2 linked regions of the Caenorhabditis elegans genome follow. The protein of the gene in region 1 interacts with the protein of each later gene in a pairwise test. Each region holds a gene or a part of one and is shown on either strand. Other genes may lie near its edges.

The links.
Region 2: the proteins of C18A3.3 (region 1) and let-756 interact in a two-hybrid assay, tested with the Caenorhabditis elegans proteins (one study listed by BioGRID).

Annotation. Positions count from the first base shown.
Region 1 is NC_003280.10:5,708,987-5,726,522, forward strand, and holds C18A3.3 (putative rRNA-processing protein EBP2 homolog), read left to right. Parts: upstream 1-7,320; coding exon 7,321-7,392; intron 7,393-7,435; coding exon 7,436-7,546; intron 7,547-7,597; coding exon 7,598-7,812; intron 7,813-7,861; coding exon 7,862-8,084; intron 8,085-8,434; coding exon 8,435-8,742; intron 8,743-8,789; coding exon 8,790-8,883; 3' UTR 8,884-9,052; downstream 9,053-17,536. Other genes in the region: osta-2 (Organic solute transporter alpha-like protein 2), read left to right, coding at 1,138-1,246, 1,412-1,566, 1,617-1,855, 1,905-2,015, 2,291-2,381, 2,430-2,583, 2,949-3,118; Cytotoxic granule-associated RNA binding protein tiar-1, read right to left, coding at 3,854-4,138, 4,185-4,369, 4,448-4,868, 5,076-5,171, 5,508-5,604, 5,677-5,819; lelo-4 (Late ELOngation arrest), read left to right, coding at 5,938-6,137, 7,096-7,264; C18A3.10 (uncharacterized protein), read right to left, coding at 6,309-6,319, 6,367-6,515, 6,559-6,614; zipt-3 (Zinc/iron permease), read left to right, coding at 9,159-9,259, 9,312-9,621, 9,676-9,747, 10,129-10,443, 10,497-10,652, 10,730-10,867; damt-1 (DNA N6-methyl methyltransferase), read left to right, coding at 11,177-11,481, 11,535-11,773, 11,821-11,887, 11,936-12,238, 12,558-12,632, 12,681-12,789; Ras-related protein Rab-3, read right to left, coding at 13,337-13,417, 13,701-13,807, 13,856-13,980, 14,029-14,303, 15,673-15,744. UniProt on the Caenorhabditis elegans protein: Required for the processing of the 27S pre-rRNA.
Region 2 is NC_003281.10:6,405,519-6,414,700, forward strand, and holds let-756 (Protein let-756), read left to right. Parts: upstream 1-1,610; 5' UTR 1,611-1,618; coding exon 1,619-1,708; intron 1,709-1,976; coding exon 1,977-2,048; intron 2,049-2,097; coding exon 2,098-2,144; intron 2,145-2,350; coding exon 2,351-2,747; intron 2,748-3,050; coding exon 3,051-3,116; intron 3,117-3,160; coding exon 3,161-3,267; intron 3,268-3,318; coding exon 3,319-3,447; intron 3,448-3,704; coding exon 3,705-4,074; 3' UTR 4,075-4,515; downstream 4,516-9,182. Other genes in the region: C05D11.5 (Putative hydroxypyruvate isomerase), read right to left, coding at 4,583-4,761, 4,853-4,922, 5,008-5,236, 5,368-5,610, 5,904-5,971; nas-4 (Metalloendopeptidase), read right to left, coding at 6,298-6,414, 6,918-6,956, 7,251-7,403, 7,452-7,638, 8,018-8,122, 8,167-8,358, 8,520-8,646, 8,691-8,784. UniProt on the Caenorhabditis elegans protein: Required for larval development. Probably by binding receptor egl-15, negatively regulates membrane protrusion from body wall muscles during larval development.

The sequences.
Region 1 (17,536 bases):
CGGATTTTTTCTGTGGGGCTTGAGAACAAGTGAGGATAATCTCTAGAAGGTGGATATTCCCGACTGAAAATCCGCTTCAAAAGCGTACTGAAATCATGACTAGTCGCTGCTATGAACAATTTTTAGACATTTTTTCTTGCTCCGCACCAAGGGTGTCAATTCCCGTTTCCCGATTTTCCCGTTGTCCCGTTTTTGGGGTGTTTTCACGGGAACGGGAATTCCCGTTTTCCCGTTTTTAAAATTTTCACGGGAACGGGAATTCCCGTTTTCCCGTTTTTAAAATTTTCACGGGAACGGGAATTCCCGCTGTCCCGTTTTTTTTATTTTCACGGGAACGGGACAATTTTCCTCATGATTTTGTTTCAAATTTTAAAGTTCTGTTTTTGAGTTTTGTACCAAGACTTAAATTCATGCAGATTAATGACTTACATGCAGTTTTTTTAATCAATTCGCCTCGAATACACTAAAATTTGCGCCAACTGTGCACTCTTTTTTTTTTAACCGCCCGTTTGTCCCGTTTTTTGAGTGTTTCAAAAAAACGGGAATTCCCGTTGTCCCGTTTTTAAAATTTTCACGGGAACGGGAATTCCCGTTGTCCCGTTTTTAAAATTTTCACGGGAACGGGAATTCCCGTTGTCCCGTTTTTAAAATTTTCACGGGAACGGGAATTCCCGTTTTCCCGTTTTTAAAATTTTCACGGGAACGGGAATTCCCGTTTTCCCGTTTTTGTAATTTTTACGGGAAATTGACACCCTTGCTCCGCACATGTGGACGACGTGTACTGGAAACTTTTAATTTAATTTCAGCTGTTCTGAAATTTGATTAAAAGCTTTTTAACATCACTTTTTAAACTTTCAGCAGAGCACATAAAATGTTCGATTCTCCTCCCTTCTCTCATACATACAACTTTATGTTTTTGATGGCCAATAGAAAAGTGAAGAATGATCAGTTTTCGGGGGGAAAATAAAATATATTCTTTCCCGTGATACTCTTTTTCTCAACAGAAAGTCTTCGTATTTTCTATTTTCTTTTTTCTTCTTTCTTTATCAAAAAAATTTGCATTTCTAGAAAAATCGCCACACCACCACGAATTGAAATCGATCGATTTGCGAACACTCAACTGAAAACAATCAAAAAATGCTGGAAATATCACCATGGGAGACGTTGGTTAAGCTCTTGACAGATTCATTACTCAATTGTACAGGAACTCATGAAGATGTACCACATGCAAAAACATTTCTTAGATGTGAGTTTTCTTTTTCCAGTGCCTACAATTGCACCTATGCCAGAATGTTGTGGTCAGAATTTATATGTTTTTTTTACTTTTGAAACTTTAGAGGCTCCAACTTAGCTAATCCGTGATTTGTGTTTAACTTTCCTTGAAAGTTTATTGAATGTAATGAATTTTCAGCGCTCACAACCACATATATTGCCTCGCTGGCCGTGGCAACTGCAGTAACCGTGGGTACAGTATGCCTTGCAGTTCTACATCTCATCTACATTCACTTCTACATCACACATTCCAGTAGACGACTGCACATTGTGCTTCTGGCATGCACTGCGCCGGTAGGTTTCTAGCTACTGTAACCCTCGAACTCAATTCGTTCTCCTTTCAGCTAGTTTCCCTACTTGCACTTGTGGCAATGTACATGCCACGTGTATGGTTTTTGTCTCATCTTCTCTCGTTTCTCTATTTTTCGTTTGCTCTCTGGGTCATCATATGTCTACTTTTACACATATTCGATGGACATCATGCCCTTGTCACGAAAATGATGCAGCGATTACAGTATGTTGAGATAGCAACACCTCCATTCTGTTGCCTATTTCCATGTCTTCCAAAAGTCCGACTGGAAGGGTTCGTTTATTAAATAGAAGAAGAATTGAAATTGAATATTTATTTACAGAAAAAAGATAAGATGGTGTGAGCTGATGGTAATGCAAGCGCCGATCGTTCGCTTATTTGCCACACTTGTCTCGCTTGTAATCTACTTTGAATATCAAGATCAGGGCCTTGTGTGAGTAATTTCAAAAACTCTAAATGGAATTGATAATCAGAAACCTGCTGCTTCCAAATATATTGTTTAAAACGTTGAAAAAAAAGAAAATGTTGTGGCTACAGTATCCACGAGAATGTTGCAATTCTCCCCCGAGTTATTCAATATTTTCTGACATATTTGCCATTAAAGCAATCTACTTATTGAAGAAAAACTGAATTTATTTTTCTAAAAGTCTGCCCATTCCTAAATTTCTAAATTTGATATCTCCATTTAATAATTATTTTTCATTTCAGCCCACTAAAAGTGCTCGACTTTATCACACTTCCATCTCTTTTGGCAGGAATCTACGGAACTCACATATTAGTCACAACGGTTTCTCGGATGGTAAGAATTAAATAAAAGCTTATTCTATAACTTTTCATTAAATTTCAGGATGAATTAATCTCGTACAGATATGTTGTTGTATTCCGTCTTCTTGATTTCTTCTTCATGGTGTTCGGATTGCAACAACCAGTTTTTGATTTTCTCGCGAGATATGGAGCATTTGGATGTGGTACTGTACTTCCAGCAATTGAGACTTCTTTCTGTGAGTTTGAATTAAATATTACTCAGATGCGAAGTTTTTGCGATTTTTGCGCCAGGTCTCGGCGCGAAAATTTTTTGTTAAATGCGAGAAGGTGTTCTCCTTTAAAGAGTACTGTAATTCCAAACTTTCGTTGCTGCGGGATTTTCATCGATTTTTCTTAGTTTTTCTCTGGAAAAGTAATAGAAAGTACACAGCAAAAAAAGTTTGAAATTACAGTACCACTCTTTAAAGGCCCACATCCTTTCGCATTTAACAAAAATTTGTCGTGTCGAGACCAGGTACCGTACTTTCGGAGTAAAAATCACAAAACTTCGCGATTGAATAAAAAAAAAATCGAATTATCATTAAATCCAATTTAATTGCAGACTGGAAGAACTTCTTCACAGTAATTGAAGCATTCTGTGTCACATTAATCAGCACTGTACTTCTACAACCATCAAAATCATCATTCTTTGACAAACATCCAAGCTGCCGATCGATGAGCTCTGCGCGGAGCACAATAACTGATGTGGACACTGACGAGTCGACCACTTGAGAATATTATCATTTTCTTCATATACAATAGCTTTTCCCCCTACTTTCTCAATCCGTGATCCTCTTCCACTTTCTATTGCATTTTCTAGTCAACTGATGTCAACTAACTTTTCATCCCTTTGTCTCACCCGTTCGTCCTGTGTGCAAAATGTCTTTGCTGGAATTTGCAACAACCGAAAATTTAAAAATCCCAAAACGTGTAGAACCTCAACCCCCAGAAATGGAAATAAACATTTTCGAACTCAATAAGACTTTACCCTCGCATTTATTATTGTGCTTCAGGAACAGGAAAAAAAACGAAAAAAGACAGAACCAGATAAGAATACGTGCCATTGCAAAATTAAGAAAACGAAACATTGTAATCTACCAGTGTAATTTAGGGGTTTGCTTGTGTGCATTTTTTCTTTTTGAATCTAGACATATTGATTAGGTGATGAAGTGGTGTGGGTGGGGAATGGACACGTAATGGAAGCAAATAAAAAAACAGAAAAAAATTTGATATAATGATTGTCAAAAGATCAACAGATTGTTTCAGAAGGGAAGTATTATAACAAATACATAGAAAAAAAGGAAATCATAAATAGAAAAGTGCGTTAGAATGCCGAGAAAGAGAAAACTGACAGAAAGGCCACAGCCGGACAAATTAAGGTATGGGTGGAACTTGGAATTAAGTTCAAATGACAAAATCCGGGGGCAATAGGGTCACATATAAAATGTTTTTAAAAAATACTGGAGTTTATTGATGTCCTCCAGAGTTCTGTTGTTGTGGAGCTCCTCCTTGTTGCTGCCAGTAGTTGGACCATTGTTGCATGAGTTGAGGATTATTGTAGTATTGGGCGTAGTATTGCCAATACTGACTGTTGGCATTGGATTGCTGTTGTCCAGGTCCTCCATGGCCTCCTCCTCCTTGACCACCTCCGTAAGCTCCGCCACCACCATATCCAGAGTACGGCTGTGAGTTTCCTCCAGACGATGAGTTTCCATAACCGTAACCATAAGATCCTCCAGGAGTTTTTCCAGTCTGAAATAAGATTTTCCTTACTAAAAAAATTAATCAAAACGCTTACGTCTCCAGTTTTTCCCCAGCTACATCTAACAAGCTGTCCTCCGACATCTTGGTTGTTCATCTGGACAATAGCCTTTGCAGCGGCATCTTTGTTGTCAAACTTCACAAATGCATATCCTTGCATCTTGAAAATGCGGACTTCGGTAATTCGTCCAAAGCTGGCGAATCCTTGGCGGATTTCATCTTCTGCAAAAAACATTATAAATTCGACGTTAGAATTTTTCAATGAAAGTATTATAAAATATTAAATTTTTGTTGACTTACCAGTAAGTGAAGCAATGTTTCCGACGTAGACTGAAGTGTTATCTCCAGAAGTTTGATTGTAGATCTCATCGTATGACTTTTCATTATAATGGCTTGGTTTCTCTTGATCTCCTGGCTTTCTTGTAGCCCAATTGGTACGGATAGTTCTTCTTCCGAGCCATTGTCCATTCATTTGCTCAATAGCACGCTCAGCTTCTTCTCTTTTCGGGTATGAAACGAAACCATAACCCTTTGACTTAGTGGTGTTAGTGTCACGGATCACTTTGGCGTCCGAAACATCTCCAAATGGTTGGAAAGCTTCGCGCAGTTTTTGGTTATCAACTTCGGACGAGAGATCTCCAACAAAAACGTGGAAATGTCTGGTAGTGTCAATTTTTGACTGCTGCTGCCCCGGCTCCACGGCCCAGTTGACTTTCATCTCCTGAAAATAACAAATTTGATTTTGAAATAGGTTTTCACATTTACTTTTTTTTATTTATGACACATAAACGAAATTTAATTTTTTAAGCAAATAAACTATATTGCTAACACTTAAAAAAATACAAATTTTACATCGGAACCCAGTGGAATCATATCGAAATTTTGTTTTTTATACAGGAGTTAATTTGTCGTTTCAAATAAAACATACTCTATCAAGAAGAAGTCGCTTGTTCATCGTCTGAAGAGCTTGGGAAGCCTGTCCATGATCAGAGAACTCAACGAACGCATATGGATCATTAGAACCCTGAAATGAAAACGTTTGACTAATACTTTGATTTCCCGGGTTTTCTCTCAATCTCTATGAAAATCTATTCAAAACGCATGTTTTCCTCTTAGTACTTAATTAAAACAACAAAAAATTCAAAAGAAAAAGGTATACACTGTCTCAGTGTCGGTGTGGATTGGTTGCCGCCTTGTGCATTTGTAGCCAGGTACCCCAATTCCTGTGAAATTAGAAAACATCATAATCAAAAAGATTCACATTTAAAAGTAAAAATAAAAGCGGATAAAAATCATACGTACCGCGAGCAAGCAAGAGTTTTCTGTAAAGATTAGTCTTGTTCCAAAGCGAAAAACTTACGTCGAAAATAACTTTGGTCTTTGTAACCGATCCTATTTGATTGAACAAAGTCGCTATAAAGTCCTCAGTGACTGTCGAATCAAGATTTCCAACATACCTGCAACAAAAGAGTAAATTAATTGACAATTTTCAACAAGAAATTCGAAACTTTCCAATGTACCCAACTTACAAAGTTCTTGGTTCATCTGAACCGTTTCCGAGATGAAATCCCTCTCTTTCGGCGAGTTTTGAATGCATTCGGGCATTGTAACCAGTATTGACGTCGTCATTGTAACCATGGTTGGAGTTTGCTGGTGGGTTGAAGAAGGACATGGCTTAAATGATAGATCCCTGTAAAAAAGAAAACGAATAAGAAGATAGAAAATAATTTATGTCGTAATATCGTAAAGAGAGATAAACGTTTAATAAATACTTAAAAAAACAAAGAAACATGCAAAAAACCAATAAAAACAGTGCGGGAACGCTGCGTTCACATTCAAAACTATGCTCGCAAGTGTCGTCTAGAGCGTTGCGGTCAGTGCGCTGCGTGTCACCCTGCGGATCTTACTCAAGCGGCAATTCAAAACAGAGTTTTCAGTTTCGAATTTCTGCAAATAATTTTAAGTTTCAGCCCGTTCCTCCGCAAAAATGGTGAGTATTTTAAAGTTTTAAAACATCAAATCAATTTAGAATTCATTCCAATCAAACAATAGGCGTAAAATATGTTTTCATTCATGTATAAACGTTGAAAATCCATTTTTAGGGTTTAGAATAGTAAGAAATATAATTTTGTCGTTGATAGTGAGAAGCTGACCACTCGTTTCATAACGTATCTGTAAAGAACATGCTTAATATTAAGAACTGGACGTCTAGTACTCACGATGAAGTATGAAAAATATAACTATCGCCAAAATTCCTAGCAAAATCAAAAATCCCACTAAGATCAGAGTTGAACAAAAGCATATTGGTCCAGAAATGCCACATATATTTTTTTCTCTATAGTAACGATAATGCTCATGCGGCATATCTCTGTAAAGTACAGATATCATAGAAATTTGATTCTAAAACTTACGTTCCATAGCTCTCAATCGTGGATACTGTAGGTGTTCGATCTTTAGACTTATTCATTTTCATTAAATTTTTCTGAAAAATTGTTTCTTATTGTACAAAAAATCGAAGAAAAATGAGTCACATCGCACATACCATTGCACTCCGACTCTTATCAATTGATAGACTAAAAACCTATTCATGTGTTTGTTCAAAGAGAAAATTCAATCTAAATAATGTTTTCTGGGGGTCTCTTCGTAAATTTTCGGGTCAATATATCTTTATGCTGCTTCCGATAATCGTTTTTCTCTTCAATTATCAGTTCAATTTAAAAAAATGAAGAACATTTGAGATTTTTTCGGGTTTGGACGCAGCATTATGAACGAGAAATCTTTTGTGGAAGAGAAATTTCAATGCGCCGCAGTTCGGCCAAGAATTTATTGGCTGTTTTTTGGGAAGACACATTACCGATATAAAATGTTTCTTGTCAAAGTTTCATGTATTAAAATACTATTTATTTTGTTAATTTTTTAGTGCAAGCTAATTATTTAAAAACTTTCAGCCAGCCGTCTTCTCATTGGTGCTCGATTCGATGTGCAATAATAATTGTTAATAATTTTTTTGTTTTCATGTATTATATTTTTCTTGTTCTTGTGAATGTTTGTAATAATAATTTGTTAATTTTTTACTATTCTTCGATCTTCAAAAGAAAACGTTTTCAGCGTTTTTAATATTTTATAATTGTGTTTTTCTAATTTTTAATGGATTTATTGATTATCGATTTCAGATGGTTCGTAAAATGAATAAGCTCGCCAAGCGGCTCGCCAGCACTTCAAAAAGTCGTCAACCGGAACCAGAAGTGAGGAAAATACTTTGTTTTAAAAAATAATTCAAAATTTCAGAGCGATTCCGACGGATCCGAATTTGACTTCGATAATGCTATCGAGGAAAAACCAATGGAAGCGATGGATATCGAAGAGGTTGAATCAGACGGCGATGACGATGAAAGAGAGGTGAGAATTACTTTTTTAAAAAGTATTTTCAAAAAAAAAAACTGATTGCAGCTCCAAGCCGCATTCGCTGCTGGTCTTCTTAAAGATGGACTCAACATTCAAGTAGCCAAAAAGCGTCCGATCATCAACAAAAGTGCTGAAATGAAAGAAAAATTGGCTGAAATCACAAAAGATCTTCCATGGGTTGAGACTCTTGAAGTGGTAACTCCTCATTCTGAAATGGACAAGAAAGTGGAAAATGACGACTTCCAAAGAGAGTTGAATTTGTAAGTTGCACGAGGGTTGTATAATTTCGAAAATTCTAATTTTTTAAAGCTATAAGCAAGCTGAAAAAGCTGTTCAAATCGCCTATCCACGTCTTCTGAATCTTGGTATCAAAGTTCTGCGACCAACAGATTACTATGCAGAGATGGCAAAGAGTGACACTCATATGCAGAAAGTTCGCAAGAGACTTCTCGGAATTCAAGAAATGAAGGAACGACAAGAAGCATTCCGCCGTATTCGTGAAGAGAAAAAGTTTGCTGTTAAGGTTCAGAAGGTAATGGTTGTTCAAAAAACCAGAAAAATTTCAGCCTAAAAATTAATTAAAATAACGGAAAAATAACTTTAATTTCTAATGGTTCGATTGGACAAACACTCAAAAATGTTTGCAAGTTGAAAGTTGCAGGATAAAATTTTTTTGCAGCAATATCCAACTTTGATACAGTTTTTGAGCACTTCGCAATTGTTTCAAACTGAAATAAAAATCTATTTCCAGATAAAACATTTTTTCTATTTTCCATCACTAAATTTAAATTTAAAATATTGGTAAAACATGCTATTTACTCTGATTCGTTTTGTAGAATTTACAAAAATAAAATCGTTGAACATGAATATCATTTTTTTCAGGAAGTTCTCGCTGCCAAGAATACAGAGAAAAAGAACCTCGCAGAAGCTGTGAAGAAGCACAAAAAGGGAATGAAACAACAATTGGAAGATATGCTGAACAACGTGAAAAGACATGGTCTTGATCAGGATGATGACGCACCGACTGGAGCATTCGGTGACCGTCTAGGAGGAAGAGGTGGTGCCGGAAGAGGTGGAGCTGGAAGAGGAGGATCGATGAGAAACGCAGGAGAACTCAAAAGAAAACTGAAATCGGATAAATTCGGTTATGGAGGAAAGAAGAAGGGAATGAAGAGAAACAACAAGGAGAGGTAAGAAGCTTCATCGGTCTTTCCTGAAATTATTTTATTTTTTTCAGCTTCAATGATCTGTTCGGAGCTCCACGCGGAGGATTCGGTGGACGTGGTCGTGGTGGTGGACGAGGAGGACGCGGTGGACGCGGAAGACGTTAAGCAAACGTTAAGCCTATTTTTATATTTACAATTTATGAACTTTTGTTACATCATTGTTGATTTTTCCTTGTTATGGATTTCGATTTTCAAAATTTTGTTCTTACAGTTATCCCATTTTTATTGTTGATCTTCTGATTTTAGTAATGTCCAATAAAATAATTTGTTGTTGCAAGCATTGAATAACTTCCAAATCGTTTTTTAATCGATCTTGTATTTTTTAAAAAGTCCAACCAAATCAAAATCGCTAAGCAGATTTTTCAGAAAATGCACTAAAAATGGAACAATTTTTGTTTATGACAACATCAGCTTTTGCTGTTTTCATTCTTCTTCTGATCTCAACATCGATACCGTACACTTTTCTAAGGACATGTTGTGTGTCAGTTTAAATTCCAAAATAACAAATGAAAACTAGAAATTTTTTTTTTCAGAAACGCTTCAAAAACATCAATCTCATTCCTGGGATGTGCTTCATGCGGTGTCTTCATTGCCACGTGTTTCCTCGGACTTGTCCCTCATGTCAGACATCAAGAAATGCATTTAAGAGGGAATCAGACGATAGTTGATAGTTATGGATGGATTCCATCGACTGATCAATTAGTTATTATTGGATTCCTGATAATTTTGATAACTGAGCAAATCATTCACGGAATCGGACATTCAATCGGAAATGGCCATTCACATTCAGGACACAGCCCACTGGCAACAAGTGATTCAATTAAAATGAACAAGTTCCACGATGTAAGCTTTTGTTTTTTGAATTTCCCGGGTTTAATATTTAAAAAAAGTTTTCAGGAGGAAGAAGGAGAGGATCACGTTCCACTTGTTGCAATGGATGATGATGCAGATGAAATTATTTTCCGACAGGTACATACCTTAAAAATAAGAAAATCGATCAAAAGTTATATTTGCTTTATTCTACTCAAACCTCAAAAATGGTCAAAAGAGCCTAATTTTAGAAAAAATCTTAAGCTTTGCCAAATTTTCCGTGTTGTAGCAAACGGAAATTGTTTTTATAAAAAAAATATTGTTCTGTTTTGCATATCATTATCGTGGATCAAGGAAAAAAAATTACATAGTAGAACAAAAACTAAATAAATATCAATTGCCATCCACTATGACACGGAAAAGAGGTTTTAGCTGAAATTGGAAAATATTTTGAAAAATGCATTTTTGTGTCATTTTGAGTACAGTAAAAAAAACACCAAGAAGCATTATTTCTTCAAATTTCATTTGTAACGTTTGTAGAACACGAGCCCTCATCACCATGCACCTTCATCAGGACATTGTCGAACTGCCCCCGGTGGATCAATGAACATTCGTGTCTGGTTTCTTCTTCTTGGAATGTCAGTTCATTCATTCTTCGAAGGAGTTGCTCTCGGCGTTCAGAATGATTCAAACGCGTTTTGGCAGATTTTGATTGCCGTCCTTTTTCATGAAGTGCTGTGTTGTGTCTCGTATGGAGTTCAACTGGCAAAGCATAATGCTTCAAGAAAGTATGCATGGACTTCATCAATCTTCTTGTCAGCTACAATTCCAGCTGGAATGATTCTCGCTACAACGGTATATTTTTTATCAACTCGATATTTTCTAAATTTTAAATTTGAAAAGTTTAGATTGACGGAATCGAAAACGACATGTGGCAAAGAATTGGAAGATATTGGCTTGAAGGATTAGCAGCAGGAACTTTTGTACACGTGGCTCTTGTTGAGCTTCTTCCAATGGAGTTGCATTCAGATGACAGCGGAGAAGGAGGTCATGGACATAGTCATGTTAGTTTTTTTTAATATTTTATTATTTCAATTATTTCAAAAACTATTATTTCAAAAACTGATTTCCCAATTTTCAGAATGTTATTGCTGACACAACTCATTCACACTCAAATCATTCTTCTTCTCATTGGATTTCACTCGTCAAGTCGCTATTCGTGGCCGCTGGAATCGGAATATTTGTAATTATAAAATCACTCATTGGTGAGCACCATTGAGCTCATCTTAATTTATCTTATTTTCAATTATTATCTTTTTTGTTCATATTTATTCATCATTTCTTCAATTGTAGTCACTTTAATTCATGTGTTGTGAGCATTCTCCCCAAAGTTCCCCCAATCCATTGATGCATAATTTTGAAATTCATCGTTCTGATCTCGGTCTTTTTTTTTAAATAATAAAAATTTGCATTTTTCGAATTCCCTTTCAGTATGTCTACAGATTCTGGGTCTTTGGGAAATACATTCATCACCTGTTAATGAGCTTTTTTTTGGCAGAACATGAGGTTTTAGATGTCAATAGTTCACATGGACACAGAATTTGCGATTCTTGATGAAGAGAAATACTACGATTCAGTCTTCAAAGAACTAAATCTGAAAACTCGCTCAGAATTATATGAGATCAGCTCAAAATTTATGCCCGATTCGCAATTCGAAGCCATCAAGCGTCGCGGAATTTCAAATCGAAAAAGAAAAATTAAAGAAACTTCAGAAAATTCAAATAGGATGGAACAAATGGCATTAAAGATTAAAAATGTTGGCACTGAATTAAAAATTTTTAAGAAAAAATCAATCTTGGACAATAATTTGAAATCCAGAAAAGCTGCGGAAACGTTAGTGGATGAAAAATGCTGTAAACTAAATATCATACATTTATATATTTCAGAGCGTTGAACGTGTCAATCCCCAGTGCTTCTGCATCTTCAGAGCAAATAATCGAGTTCCAGAAATCAGAATCCTTGAGTAATTTAATGTCGAATGGAATGATCAACAATTGGGTACGGTGCTCTGGCGACAAGCCGGGTATCATTGAAAATTCAGACGGAACAAAATTCTATATACCTCCTAAATCTACATTTCATGTTGGAGATGTGAAGGATATTGAACAGTATTCAAGAGCACATGGTTAGCTTTCAAATTCCTGTTTGAAATGTTAAAGTATTAGATTCCAGATCTCCTCTTCGACTTGATCATTGCCGATCCACCATGGTTCAGTAAATCAGTGAAACGAAAACGAACGTGCGTTTTGAAATTTTCAAGAAACTCCACAGATGCATTTATTTCCAGATATCAAATGGACGAAGAAGTTCTAGATTGTCTCGATATTCCTGTCATATTAACTCATGATGCTCTGATTGCTTTCTGGATCACAAATCGGATAGGAATTGAGGAAGAAATGATAGAAAGATTCGATAAATGGGGAATGGAAGTTGTTGCCACTTGGAAATTGCTGAAAATCACAACACAAGGAGATCCAGTTTATGATTTTGATAACCAAAAACATAAAGTTCCATTTGAATCACTGATGTTGGCGAAGAAAAAGGATTCGATGAGAAAGTTTGAGTTGCCGGAGAATTTTGTTTTTGCCAGGTGGCGTTTTATTAACTTTTTGCAAAAATTGATTTTTTATCACAAACCGAGATCTTGGGTCCTGCGACGGAAGAAATGTTTCAGTTACCGTAACCCAATTTTCTTTACATTTATCACTATTTTCTCAATCATTTTTTGTTTTTTTTTCAAAGTCAAATCAGTAAAATTACTAAAAGTGCAACTCTACAGTACTTGTGGGGGTACGGAAGGGTGAAAAGTTTCGCTCGTGCTAGGACACTATGCCATGATTAGAATCAAAAATCACACTTTTTAGGGAATCGATAAAATAGTAGAAACATCCAATAAAATACAATTTCAGCGTTCCAATGTCAGTACACTCTCACAAACCTCCATTGCTCGATCTTCTCCGTCATTTTGGAATCGAATTCACAGAGTCAGATTTTGAAATTTGGGATTCAAAATATAATAATTGAAATTACAGACCTCTGGAACTCTTCGCCCGATCTCTTCTTCCATCAACCCACAGTGTTGGTTACGAACCATTCCTTCTACAATCTGAACATGTTTTCACTCGAAATATCTCTTTGTAATAAATAATTTATTATGCCTCGAAAATAATTTCCTCCAAAATCAATCTTTCAGCGGGTGGGTGTAATCATTGGGAACTGGGAAGTCACTAGGAAATAAGGAAATAGAGAAATACAATAAATAAAATAATAATAATAATAGGCGACTATGATTAGTTAGAAAACACAGCTCTGGGAATTGTTTGGAAGTGTTGAGAGAAATTGTTGATTTTTTACAAATGGGGAATATGATTGAACGTTGGAATAAGTTAAAATATTAATAAAAATAGCGCTGAATGAAAACTTAATAAGTGACAGTGAAAAGGATTTGAAAAGATAATTAAACCAACTACGCCCTAAAATAAAATAAGTTAAATTTAAAAAAAAACTTACTTTCCAAAAAATCATAGAAATTCGATTTATAAGTTAATTTACGATCCATATATCTGGTGCCTAGATGTTGAGAGAGGGAAAACTGAGAGCTACGCGCTTTTAGAAAATTAATATTATTGCGTTTGGAATTTGGGAAAATTTTGAGTTTTTATAGATAGTATAATAGAACGTAGAATTTTTAGCAATTGCATTGCTGTTGAGCAGGCTTTTGGGTCGGATTCGCTTCGAGCTTCTGTCCTTTTGGCTGTTGCTGTGGGTCCTGAAAAAACTACTTTTAATAAGATTTTTATTAAGAGGAAGTGTTTTATAAACTAACATAAATTGTAAATTATAATTTGTTTACAAAAATTGCAATGTTTTTCAAAAAAAGATAATGCCCCGGGTTTTGAAGCGAACTAAAATTTTCAGATGCAGGAAATCATGAGGCCCATGAGACCGTTAGAATATAAATCTCTATCATGCCATTTTCTATATACATAAAATTTACGTTTTTTTTTCAAAAATAAAAACAAGTTAAAAAATCTACAATTCCAAAACCATACCTTATCCAAACTCTCTGCCATCTTATCACAAATAATCTCCACCAACTTCTCAAAAACTGCCTTTACATTAATGTTCTCCTTGGCTGATGTTTCGAAGAATTCCAAACCTAAAATTAAATTCGTTTTTCAGCACAATTTTTTCTCAAAATACTTACCAAGTTGATCAGCAAGTTGGCGTCCCCTATCCATAGATACAACTCTTTCAGAGTCCATATCACATTTATTTCCAACCAAAACAACTTGAGCATTTTCCCATGAGTATGTCTTGATTTGAGTGCACCTGAAATGAATCAAGATACATATTTTCTTAAAACCATGCTCAACATACCAATCCTGAACACTATTAAAAGACTCTTCATTAGTGATGTCATACATCAGAATGAATCCCATTGCTCCACGATAGTAGGCGGTGGTGATGGTACGGTACCTCTCCTGTCCGGCGGTATCCCAGATTTGAAGTTTGACTCGTTTGTCTCCACGGAACACAGTTTTCACTTTGAAATCGATTCCGACAGTAGAGACGAAGGCAGAAGTGAATGAATCATCACAGTAACGGAAGAGGAATGATGTTTTTCCAACTGATGAATTTCCGATTATCAGGAGCTGAAAAAATTAGGATAAAATTTTAGGATTGGGCAATTTTTGCGGTTTCTTATCTATTCAAAGGCGAAGTATTGTCTGCTGGAATTTTTATAAATACTCTCATAACATTCCAAAAAAAAGTAAACATTAAAATTGAACCCTTCGAAGATTGGAATTTTTGTTGAATTTGGAGTATTGCTATCATTTCCAAAAATGTTCAAATTTAGGTATTTGAAACCTAAGATAAAATATATATATATATATATATATATATATATATATATTTGAAACCTAAGATAAGTTTTGCAAAATTGAGTAATTGTCACTTTTCCACAGTCAATAAAAATTTATCCCAATCTTCAGATTCCCCCGCCAAATTTAGTTTTTTTTGCGAGCTATTTCTTTTTCTTTTTTATTTCCTTTTCTCGTGTTATTCATATTCGCAACAGAATTCGTGTAGCTCTTCTCATTTTTCCATTCTTCTTCCATTTCCATCTCTCACTCCCTTTTATTCTACGAAAAAGTGAGTCCCGGTTTGTCAAATAAAATATGAAACCAGAGAGTCTCCCAGAGACACCCATCGATTCTTTTCCTCTCCCTATTTCTGAAGGATGGAAGAAAGAAAAGTGAAAGTTTTTTTTTCCAACGAATTTCCTCTTTTCTTCTGGGAGCAACGGGAAGCTCAAAGAGAGGATGGAGAGTTGGAAAAAGAGCACTCGACTGGAAATTACGGGCGAAGAGAAAAACGTGTAGAGGAGGGAAAATGAAAATTGTAGGAAAAAGAACGAGAGACACAGTAATTAGTTAGAATAATTACTAGAAAAAAAATATTCATTCTGAATTTTTGTTTTAAAAAAACGAATGAGAGGGTGCAATTATATGTATGTAGTTAGTTACTTGGAAAAAATGAAGAAACAAACTTTAAATCTGTTTTTAGATCAAATTAACAACGCAATTATTTTTCAAACTGGTCGTTTGGCAAAATTTTGTAAAGGACTTTTAAGTAATCAAAAATTAAAAAAAAAATTAAGCAAACTATGATCTGTTGTGAAATAAAATCAAATTTTTAAATGCATTTTTTAAAGGTCTTTTTATAGAGTTTTTAGGAGGCGATTCCGGGCGGTTTTTTTGAAAATACCAGTTAAAACTTTTTTTTAATCTATTAGTTGATCCTGTCCCTCTTAATATCCCCAAAGATTTAATGAATTATCTCACCCTTTTATAAAAAGCGCTATTGAAAAATAGTTACTAATAGGGATGGCATGCCTATATTTATATGATATTTTATTTCAACTTCTACATTTCAAAACACCCTACCAACTAGGTCAACAACATCATAAATATTTCATAATAAATATCTTAAGCCTCCACTTTAAAAAGCTCTTCTCACCTTGAACATGTAGTCAAAGTTCTGATCGGGTTGTCCCGGTGTAGCGCCTTGAGGTTGTCCGCCAGCCGCCATCTGAAAATAGGGCTACTGTAGATTTATTTTAAAAGAGCATTTAGATTACTTTATGTATTTATAGAATCAAAATATCAAAAATTCAAAGTTCATAGCGAGATATCTTTGATTAAAAATTAGAGAAGGAAGAAAAACTTGCAACAAAAAAGGAAATAAGAAATGTCTGGAGAATTCAAGATTAGACAGAAAAAAACGTTATTTCCATTTTCCAATTTTAATTTCCCAACCCAACAACAAAACTTAGAGAAACGAGAGGGAACTGATTAAAATAGCAAATTTTTATCATTCTTTTTATTTCTCTAGTGTATTTATCAGCTGTCTCTCTAAAACTCTTTCTCTGGAGGAAAAATTGAAGTTAGTGGACTACAACTCGTTGGGAAAAAGAAAAAAGCAGAAGAAGAAGACGTTAGGAAAATCGAGGAAAGCATACTCTGGCTTCTCTCTACAGAGCTCTTGGAGCTCAGTGTGAAGCTGTGAGTGTGTTTGAGTCTCTCTCTGTGTGTGCTCACAAAAATGGATCGATGGGTTGACTAGCTCGTTGCTCACGGAGAGAGATAGAAACGCCCGATGCATACATCACAACCGCTTCTTCGTCTTCTTTCGCTTCTTCTCCCATTTTCTCTATACACTTCTGAGGAGTGTATGCGTGTATGTGTGCTCCGAAAAAAGAAAGAAAAAGAGCTCTCTTGGGTGCGTGTAGGCGCTTCTGTTAGAGAGGAGAGCACCGATTTAATAGGGCACCTCACTCTCTTTTTTTTCTAGATTTCTTTCTATTTCAGTTCTTGAATTATTCTCATTGTGTTAGATAATTGAAATGCTTTTGTTGATGAAGCTTTTTAGAGAATTCGATATTTAGAGATTTTAGAAATAATTTAATAGATTTTGATTAAACCATGAAAATATATAATATATAATATATATAAATAGTCAATAATAAAGTTTTAAAATCTGATTTAAATTAACAAAATACATAGCTATCAAAAAATCTTTTTCAAGCCAACTTAATTATTCACAAATCGCTTAACATTTTTTTACTAGAAAAATATATCATTATTAATATCGCAAAAACAAGTACTTCTCTGATCCCCAAATATCCGACCAATTAGTTAAAAATATTTATGTAGGGAATTGGTCATTACAGTTTCATCTTTTATAGAGTACATTTTAAGAATATCAAATAGACAGTCCACTGCTCCCATCTGAAGATCTTTGAAAAATCTCAAAGTTGCATTCGAAAACCAAAATCTATACGTCTGAAATGGGTTAGAGAAAAGTAGAAAATGTATATATGCTATACTAAAAAATAGATAAATGTATTCTCGTTGCCGTCGAGGTCGTCGTCGTCAAAAAATATGCAGAAAAGTTGGGGGAAATGAAAAAGAGAGAAAGATTGACTAGTTAATGATGGGATACTCAACGACGACTCTGAAGGTGACGTTGTCCAAAGATTGAGGAATAAGAAATTGAACCAAGAAGATCTACGGAATTTCAGATTGATTTCAGAAACAGTTTATTCCCAGTGACCGTACAGTAATCCTACCGGGACATTCTAGTCGGACAGTCAGTATTCGAGAGGCAGACAACATACGATATGAGAACGCAAAAAAACGAACATTGAAGCTATGCATGTAATTTTAAAATAATTGCTAATGGAAGTACTATTGTGACGGTAAATTAGATGATAAGTAAATTAAAAGGAGTTCAAACTTAACTACGTATTGAGTTTAAAAATTATTACCTCGAGAGCTACTTTTTTGCATGGTTCACACTGACAAGTCATATAATCAGCTGG
Region 2 (9,182 bases), on another chromosome or scaffold:
TCGATTTCTTTCTTTTTCCTACATCAACTATTACTCATATTTTTCTTGATCTTTCTTCTGTCATATGATTTTTCGGGTACTATAGGATTTTAGTTTTCAAGTTTTCACACTCAGACATTTAAATATATTTCTAGATTCTCATAAATGGGTCTTGCCACGACTGTTCCGTATACCTATTCATGAAATACCGTATTCGGTTTATGCTTTTTTTCAATTAAGCATTTTTTAACATGTTTTCATTTTTCTAACAGTAAGACAATATAAATTTACTTCATTCCAGTATTCCAAAAAAACACTTATTTTTTTCCAAACTTACTTTTGTCAAACTAATCATCTACTTTTCACATATCCATCTCCACATACGTGAAAATGTGAATAATTCTTAACTTACCATGGAATTCGTAATTTCATGTTTGCTATAAATTTGAACCATATTATTATGTGTTATTTCTGCTCATTTTTTATCGAACGTCATTCTTAGTTCCTCAGAATAGTATCGCTTTCTACTATTTTTCCAAATGCATCATACTTTATTAGCTCAAATTTCATTCATTTTCGGAAGAGTATTGTTTGCGGGGGATGTTTTTTATTTACAAATATGACACTATTCTGGGAATCTCTACAAATTGGCATTTTTCCAAAATGGTATTTTTCTGTTATAGCCTAGAGATCCTACACATTTTGATGCTCTTTTCATTTATTTTGATCTATTTTTCCTCCTTTTTTGAAGTTTTTTTTTGTGTTTTTATTTTGAACAAATGTTATGAACAACTGTGTAAATATGATCTCAAAACTTTGTCGTCACTTGTGAAAATTTGTGATGATTCAATCGGTTCAAATCACTTTGCCAAAACTACATATGTTTTCTCGGAAAAAAAAACCGTTGTTGAAATTTTCCACAGATACACAAAAACTCCTAAATGCAGAGCCTACACCTGCCTCTTACCTACTCTAAAATCTGTTGAGTGAACCATAAGACATTTAAAGTTGAGCAACAACTTTTTTGGGAAAAATAAACATTTTGGAAATTTGCAAGCAAAATATGTGGCTTTTCACAAAAACTAGATTACAAAAAATACTTTCATATTTCTCAAAATTCTTAATCACTTTCTTATAAAAAATTTGTAATGTTATAAATTTTTGAACTTGTTGTATGATTATCGGATTTTAAATTAGTAGTATACTACTTTTTTCCAAATATAAAGATAGAATATTAATAATCTTCTTTCTTTTTAAAGTTTTTATTCAAAGATACTTCTAATGCCCCCGAACAAACTCTAAACTCTATTTTGCATCTTATTGAACTTGGTCATTGTGATCTGTTTCTATTTATCTGTTTTCTCAATAGACTCTCTTTCATTGTTGCATTCCTTCATTCCAATCTTACCGTTCTATTTGTTTTTTTTTCATCACAATTTTCCATTTTGCAAGAAAGCCTGAGCCTTCTCCCAACTGAGCCTGAGTGCAAACTCGTGCCAGAAAAGGAGTGGAGGCGGAGGTGAAGATTGTTTGCTCCCGAATCTCTGTACTTGCCCTTTTTCTCATTTATTGACTCTTACTTCCTCGTTCTTCAATATTTCCAAATCATTACAATTTCTTCAAATGTTCAGATGAATATATGGCCGTTCCTGCCGCCTCATCGATAGTTTCATACGGAGGAGCAGCCACTTCTAACTTTTTGACAACACCAGTTACACCTTTTCTTGCGGTAAGTTTACTTCTTTTAACCATAAATGTTTAATTTTTTAATTTTTTTTTGAATTAAGAACGTTTGGAAGTTCAAGCTATATGTACTCAAAATGTGAAAAAACCAAAAATTGAAATATTCATACAGTAACTTAAGAATCTGACACCTCTATGTTTTTTGGAAAAAATTATAGCACACTAGAAAATCTAGGATAATGTTTTTTTCTCCCACAAATTGATTACTTTTTCAAAGTTAAGATATGAACTGAAACTTAGAAATAAATTTTCAGGGATTCTATAATTCAAATTTTGTAACCGATCGTATAAATTCATGTGCTCCGTATCGAGTGGACCGGATCAGAGTGAGTTTGAAATTAGAGATACAGTTGTAAACTTGAAAATGGTTTCCAGAAACAACTACAAGATGAAGAAGAAAATGGGTATCCACCTGCTGATGAGTGAGTTTTTAAGCTTTTCAAACTTTTTGTAACAAGGGATCTCGGATTTTTTACTCAATTCTTGAAATTTGTTTTCTTTCACAGGGCAACGACAATTTATCAAAAACAACAAAAAACATTTTTTTAATCGAAGTGATCATGATCAAAAATTAAAACTTGCCAATGATTTCAAAGGCATTGCGTTTTTGACTAATTTCTACTTCCAGCCGTCGCCGCGGAGCCCTGTTTTGTCGTTCGGGAACCTGGTTGGAGATGCTTCCTATCGAAAATCCTGACGATGGATCGACACGTGTCAAAGTTCATGGAACAAAAGAGGAGAGTTCCAAATTCAGTATAGTGGAGTTTGTGTCAGTGGCAATGAGTCTTGTATCGATTCGAGGAGTTGAAACAAAGAATTTCATTTGTATGGATCCATCGGGGAAATTATATGCAACACCATCATCTAATTATTCAACAGAATGCGTTTTTCTCGAAGAAATGATGGAAAATTATTACAATTTATATGCGTCTTGTGCTTATGGTGACAGGTTTAATCCCTGGTATATTGAATTACGACGGAGTGGAAAACCAAGGAGAGGTCCTAATTCAAAAAAACGTCGGAAAGTAAGTGAAATATATACTCATTCTGCTTTGACAGCTCGTATCGGAGATATTATTACATTTTAGAAAAATAATTTTTAAAACCCGATTAAAGTATATTTTCGAGCATATGTTCGCAAGAAAATGTGGTTTTTACCAAAAATTAGAAGCTCGAGGTCTGGAACGAGCGAATATTTCCTGATATGTACATTAACTTTTCTCTCGTTTCAATAAGTTCCTACCGTACTCGCGGCTACTGTAGCTAGATACATAAAGAAATCCGTGTGCACTTTTTTTTGATTGAAATACATTATCCGTATATTTCAGGCGAGCCATTTTCTAGTTGTTCATCACGATCTTGACCGGTTACGAAGTCCCGTTCCAAATGGAAATGTGAGTTTTTTCGAGACATACAGTTTCAACTTTTTGATTTTCAGGACGTAACCGATCTGGTAGTTGCTTCACTCTTTCACCAACCTCCCAGTCATCCATTATTCCGACAGCAGACCGTTACAAAACCACCAAATCCACATCGTATTTCAAAGTAAGCATTTATATCAAAAGTATCAGATTAGAGCTAATGAAATTTTTGTAGTTTACGAGCAAAAGTGGAAATGACGAACCAAGCTGAGAAGCAAAGATTATTAGAAGAAAAGAAAAGACGAAGAGAAAAGAAGAAACGAAGGAGAGAAGATCGATTAAGAAAAGAGGAACAAATTAGAGAGTTAGTTATTATTCTGAGAAAAAGAAAGCGCAGAGAACTGAGAATTATTATGAAAGTATTGAAAAATAGCAGAACATTTTTTTGGTTTTTAAGATTTGAAGCCAGACTGAAATGGCTTTTTTTGGGTATCGTTCCGTTTCAGTTTTTGAGCGGCAAAAATAAATTCAATGCCAGGTAGCACAAAACTATTTGAAACATTTATGATGATTCCACGTGTGACTTTCCTAGATCTATACCAATTATCAAACGTATTTCAGAGCCCGTCGCCAAGAGCTCAAAAGTCTTCGTGAAGAAGAACTCCGACGTCGTTATCAACAACAACAGCAGCAACAAGCATCTACTCAAACTCGGTACAATCGTCCTCAAAATCCAGCGAATCCTTATCCAACGTATCGACCTCTTCCAACAAGATCAACAGTACAATCTCCACGACCTGCATACAATCCATATTGGCAGTCTCCAGTGACACAGGCTCCTCATCACAATTCCCATCACCATCATCATCACCATCCACGTGTCAGCTCTTCATCAGACCCTCAACAACGTCATCAATCACAACAACACTATCTAGCTCAGACAGTGTCAAATCCAAACCGTCAGAATGTTAACTATCAACGATACCCGTGAACGATCTCTCTTCTTATGATACCCCGCACAGCATCTATCATCATGATCTTCTCATTTTCTTTCCATTTCTTCCTGCCTTCTTTTGCTTAATTAATTTTTTATCAGGGCTGATTTTGAGAAGAAGCGCAGTACATTGTCGTGAAGTTCGTAAGGCACGGTGCTTTAGAAATGAAACCCTTTCTTGTGAATATTGAAACACACAACGAATTTTCTAATTTTCTATTTCTACCTTCATAATATTTCTGTATTAGACTCTTAAAATCACACCATGCTCTAAATACGACAATTTGCGTACACTACTGTTTTTCTTCCCAAGCTCGCCCCTTTTAAGTATGTTTTCCAAGTCTCTCTAAAACACCCCCAACTCGCCACGTGTCTCATTCCATACTCACGGGTTTTGTATTTTGAACATACTGTAACTTACTATTATGAATAATATATATTTGAAAAATATGTATTGTTATTTTAAAAAAATTATCAATGGAGCGAATTTACAAAGACAGGTAATTCAAAAACTTAGAGACATGTTCTCAATCCAATTGAATGAAGGCTTTGCATCCAAATATTCAGCACCAATAACCCATGATGGATTGATCGAACGGATTTCATCGAAAATAAAATGATAATCGATTTCTCCGCGTGTATCACATGCACCTCTATTTGGAACTTGAGCCACTTGAATATAGCCTGAAAAACTCGAAAAAAATCGACGAATGAAAAAGTAATTTCAGAAAAATAGGGCGTAAGCTTATTTTCATCATCATCCTTTTCAACTAACCAATATAATCTTTGAGCTTTCTCATAATTGCTCCAATTTGTCCGTTGATTTGTTGAGCGTGGAATGTGTCCTGAAAAATTACAGTTACTTTTCGAATTCTTATTTTCAAAAAAAATTGTGCATAAAATTCGATGTTTTATGTTCTATTGACTTACATATTGAATTTTCAAATTATTCGATTGATCCATTTGGATCACATCCATTGCATCTTCATAATTATTTAAGTGATATCCAGGAATAGTGTACTTATTGATTGGTTCAATGAGGCATATCAACTTGTGCTCCTTGAACTTTTCGGCGGCAAAACGCACATTTTCAGAATAGGTCTGATGAGCATTTTCCAAGTCATCATCCGATTTCGGAATTCCAGCCATTACGTGAACTCTGAAATTGTTTAGATTACTGTAGTTTGCACCGTTTGAAGTATTAATAAGATTTGAAAGACACTACGTACTCAATACATCACATCCAATGCACATTGTTCCTAATTTGAAATCCCTCTTTCCTCAACTGACCTACAACATCCAAGAGCCTTCGCATACTCAATCGCAGTATCCAAACTCTTTCTAAACTCCTTTTTCGCCGATTTCAAAGAAGCCAATCCTCTAAATCCGTCATCCCAATTCCCGGGCGGTGCATTGATCAAAGTATGTTTAAGATGATACTCATCAGCTGCTTCACGAAGTTTTTCGGCTGGCTCCGTGTAAGGAATGCTCACTTCGACAAGCTTGAAACCCGCGGAGGCGGCTGCTCCGTATCTGAAAAAAATTGTGTGCAAAATTTAGAAGAAGCATGTAAAGTCTTTTTTTTGACAATTTTTGCCGCGAAATTACGGTAGCCGATCTCAAAGCCAATTTTAAATGTGCGGATTTCAAGAGTACTGTAGTAATGAAAATTCGAATTCCAACACAGAGAATTTTTAGTTGCAATTGGAATTTTTAATGCAAGAAATATCGGGAAGTGACAACTACAGTAATCCTCAAAGGCGCAACATCGCTAAATTTTCAAATATCCGATAGCAAAACTAAAAAATGAAATTCCGGAGACAAACCTTTGCAGCAATGGCAAATTAGTGAACAACATGTTCAGATTGGCGGCAACTCGATTCGTCCCACTCATGTCTTTTTGATCGAAATGAACTTATTTTCACACGTAAATAAACTATTTATATTTGTGTATTTCTGTATATGATAACAAGACTCCAAAATAACAGAGATGGCGTGGTTTATCGTAAATCGACAATTGAGAGAGATAATAAGAAGAAGAAGAGACGCATAGAGGGTGAGAGCAAAGTTCAGTTTTGTGTAAATTGTCCTCGAGAACAATGAAACAAGATTCAATTAATTGAAAAAGTATAAGAACCCGTCTAGAATATATTTGAAAAGTATTAAGAGTTTGGGGAATCTGAAGCTTAATGTTACAGTAAAACAGAGTACTAAGCCAAATTATTTGCACACTGAGCACGATTTTCTGCAAATAATTGCTCGAACCTCTCGTCGTTGGCAATATGAGAAAAGTGACCAAAACCGGCATCTCCATGTTAGATCTTCACAGGGTTCCGTCTGAAAATAAATAGAACAGGAAACAGAATAGTACATATTGGGTCGGTGTACCTCACAACCTTGATACATGAAATGCGAAAATTTTAACTTTCAAAAAAAATTGACTTTCAAACAGGCGGCCTTTATAGGCAAGCATGAGGTGTGCGCGCCTACATCAGGCGTAGACGGCATTGAAGTCAAGCTTAACTAGGTTAGAAAGAATTCTGACACTATAATTGACAATATTAATTTACTTCAGTTGAAAATTAATTTTCTTAATGTTTCCTATTTATTTTTCTTTCAATATTTGTGCAAAGTATTAAATTGTGAAGATAATTTATTAGATTGATTAGACACACAACACATTTAAAAATACACACATACAGAACCAAATAAGAATTGGCAAAAAGCAACTTGAGAAGAGAGATCAAATCCCGTTAAAACACACACAGAGAAACTGAAAAAGACACACAAGAACACATAAGTTAACCAAAAATTCGAATCATCCGACGATTGTTAGTTACTTGGTTAGATGTTGATAGAGGCAATCCCGCGTATCGCGACTGAAAAATTTTTTGTTTTGTGTGGAAAGAGATATATTTTTTGCACTACGATACTTATTGGTTTTCAGAGAGTAGGCGGAGCCAAATAACATCGGAGTACAGTTGCGAAAATACAGTAACGTCCGTCATATGAAATGAACGGGGTACTGTAATAAGTGCGAGTGCGAAGACAATGGTGAATCACACGCACTGCACACAAAAACTAAGGATACACAGCAAAAGCGCTTTAACGCTACCGGCATTAGTATGATAGAAATGATAAAAGAGATTGATGATGGGTAGGTGTGCTCAAACCTGAGGATGATTGACAATTGAATTTGAGTTGATTTGATTGTTGTTGTTATTATTATTGTTACCGGAGACTCCTGGACAATTGTATAGCTTATTGATCTTTCTAACGTCAATGTCAGAAAACTTGACACGCTGACCCATACGTTCGGACCCAGACTAAAATATTAAATTATATCTTCTTGTAATCTGCAGAGTTTGTCTTACCTTCTTTGGCACCAATGTCTTCTTTCCGGATCCACTGAATGCGTATGGTCCGTAATGCATAATGGAAGCGTAGTCATATGGTTCATCCAAATGGGAAATCACATTCAAGTTGTATTTCTCAAATTGATCATCAGCGCCGTTCATCACATTCTGCCAGACTACGTCGATATAACTGTCACGGTCTTGTCTGGAAGTCGAGTGAAATCAGAAAAAATATTCAAGGCAGAACACGCACTTCTGTGCAAGTTTCCGAAGTTCGGCAGAGATTTTTTTTTTTCAAGACAAAGTTTTCAAAGTTTGACAGAAAAATTATATTGTGTTAATTTCCCAGTTAAATTCTTGAATTAATCAATTCAGGAAAAAAACAAATCTACATGCCAAAGGGCAGGCAAGTAGGCATAAAAAGGTTTGGGGTAGGCACGCACTTCTGAAACAAATGTCCCAGATTTTCAGTACTGCCAGAAGTTGGTAATAGGGTTTCCTGTTCATTTTAATGAACTTCTCTCCCATTTCTCAAGGCAACATTTTTACCAATTCCATGTGAGATATGGCTATATTCTCTTTACCTGCTCTGCTCATGGAAGAACCCAACAGCATGCATCAGCTCGTGAACAATTGTTCCAACTTGAATACATCCAGAATCCAAAGACACTGGCTGCTTTCCTCCGGTTCTAAATTTTTCTAGTTTGTCACATTTCTCTCAGTTACTACTCACTTTCCAACCAAACTGTAACATCCTTCGTCTGGATGAATCCATAGATAATCGTGATGCTTCGATGGATCTCTGGCAACGAATTTGACACATGTTTTTGTATGATATTCGTTCATTGCGTTGGCAATCACACTTCTTGCATAGGAACCGTATTGTGAAGACAGGGTGTATGGAATCTCGTTATTTGGCCAACGTCTGAATTGAGTTGACATTATACTACTGTAGTGAACATGAAAAATCGGTAATGTCAATTTTACTTTGTCAACCTCTAGAGGATTTGCCACAATGTAGCTCCAAAAACTTGAAATTTTCAACTTGAAAGTTTATACTTTAAATATGGAACTAAACATTCACACCTGTATATTTGTTTAATCGCATTTCGTCCCAACTTATTGTTCTCCTCCACAAATTTCTTAGGGCTTTCCAACAAAATATCTCCCTCACTGTAGTTTCCAATAGTTGGATCGTCTTTTACTTTTATTCCTGGAAAGTTGGAAATTTATATTAAACAGTTAAAAAGTTCTTACCAAGAGTCTGCAAATCGTATCTCTGGTGTAAATCACTATGGAAATCAGCATCATTCAGTGTCGTTTCGGTTTGTGGTACAGATGTATCTATTACCTAAAAACAATAAATTGGTACAAATTTAGTTGTGAAAATAGGAAAATAATTTTAGAAAATGCGGAAATGAACACAATGTTTTGTGAGTGAGAACTTGGGTTTTAACTGTACAAACAGAAAATATAAAGCCTCAAAAAACCCTTAGTTTTGTGTACTTTTACGCACCACTAGAGATGGTTCACTGGTCATCGAATACTGGTCAAATAGGTTGAAAAATGTTGAGTTTTTAGGGCTATGGCTCATTTTCTGAAAATGCAAAGTTTGACGATTCGAAGTGGTCTGGGAATTAGGTTGTAAACTACAGTAATCCTTAATGGCGTGCAAATTAAAGTGACTATTTCATAACCTGCCAGACTATAAAATCTCTCAAAAAAAGCTTCTTAAAATTCGGATTACTG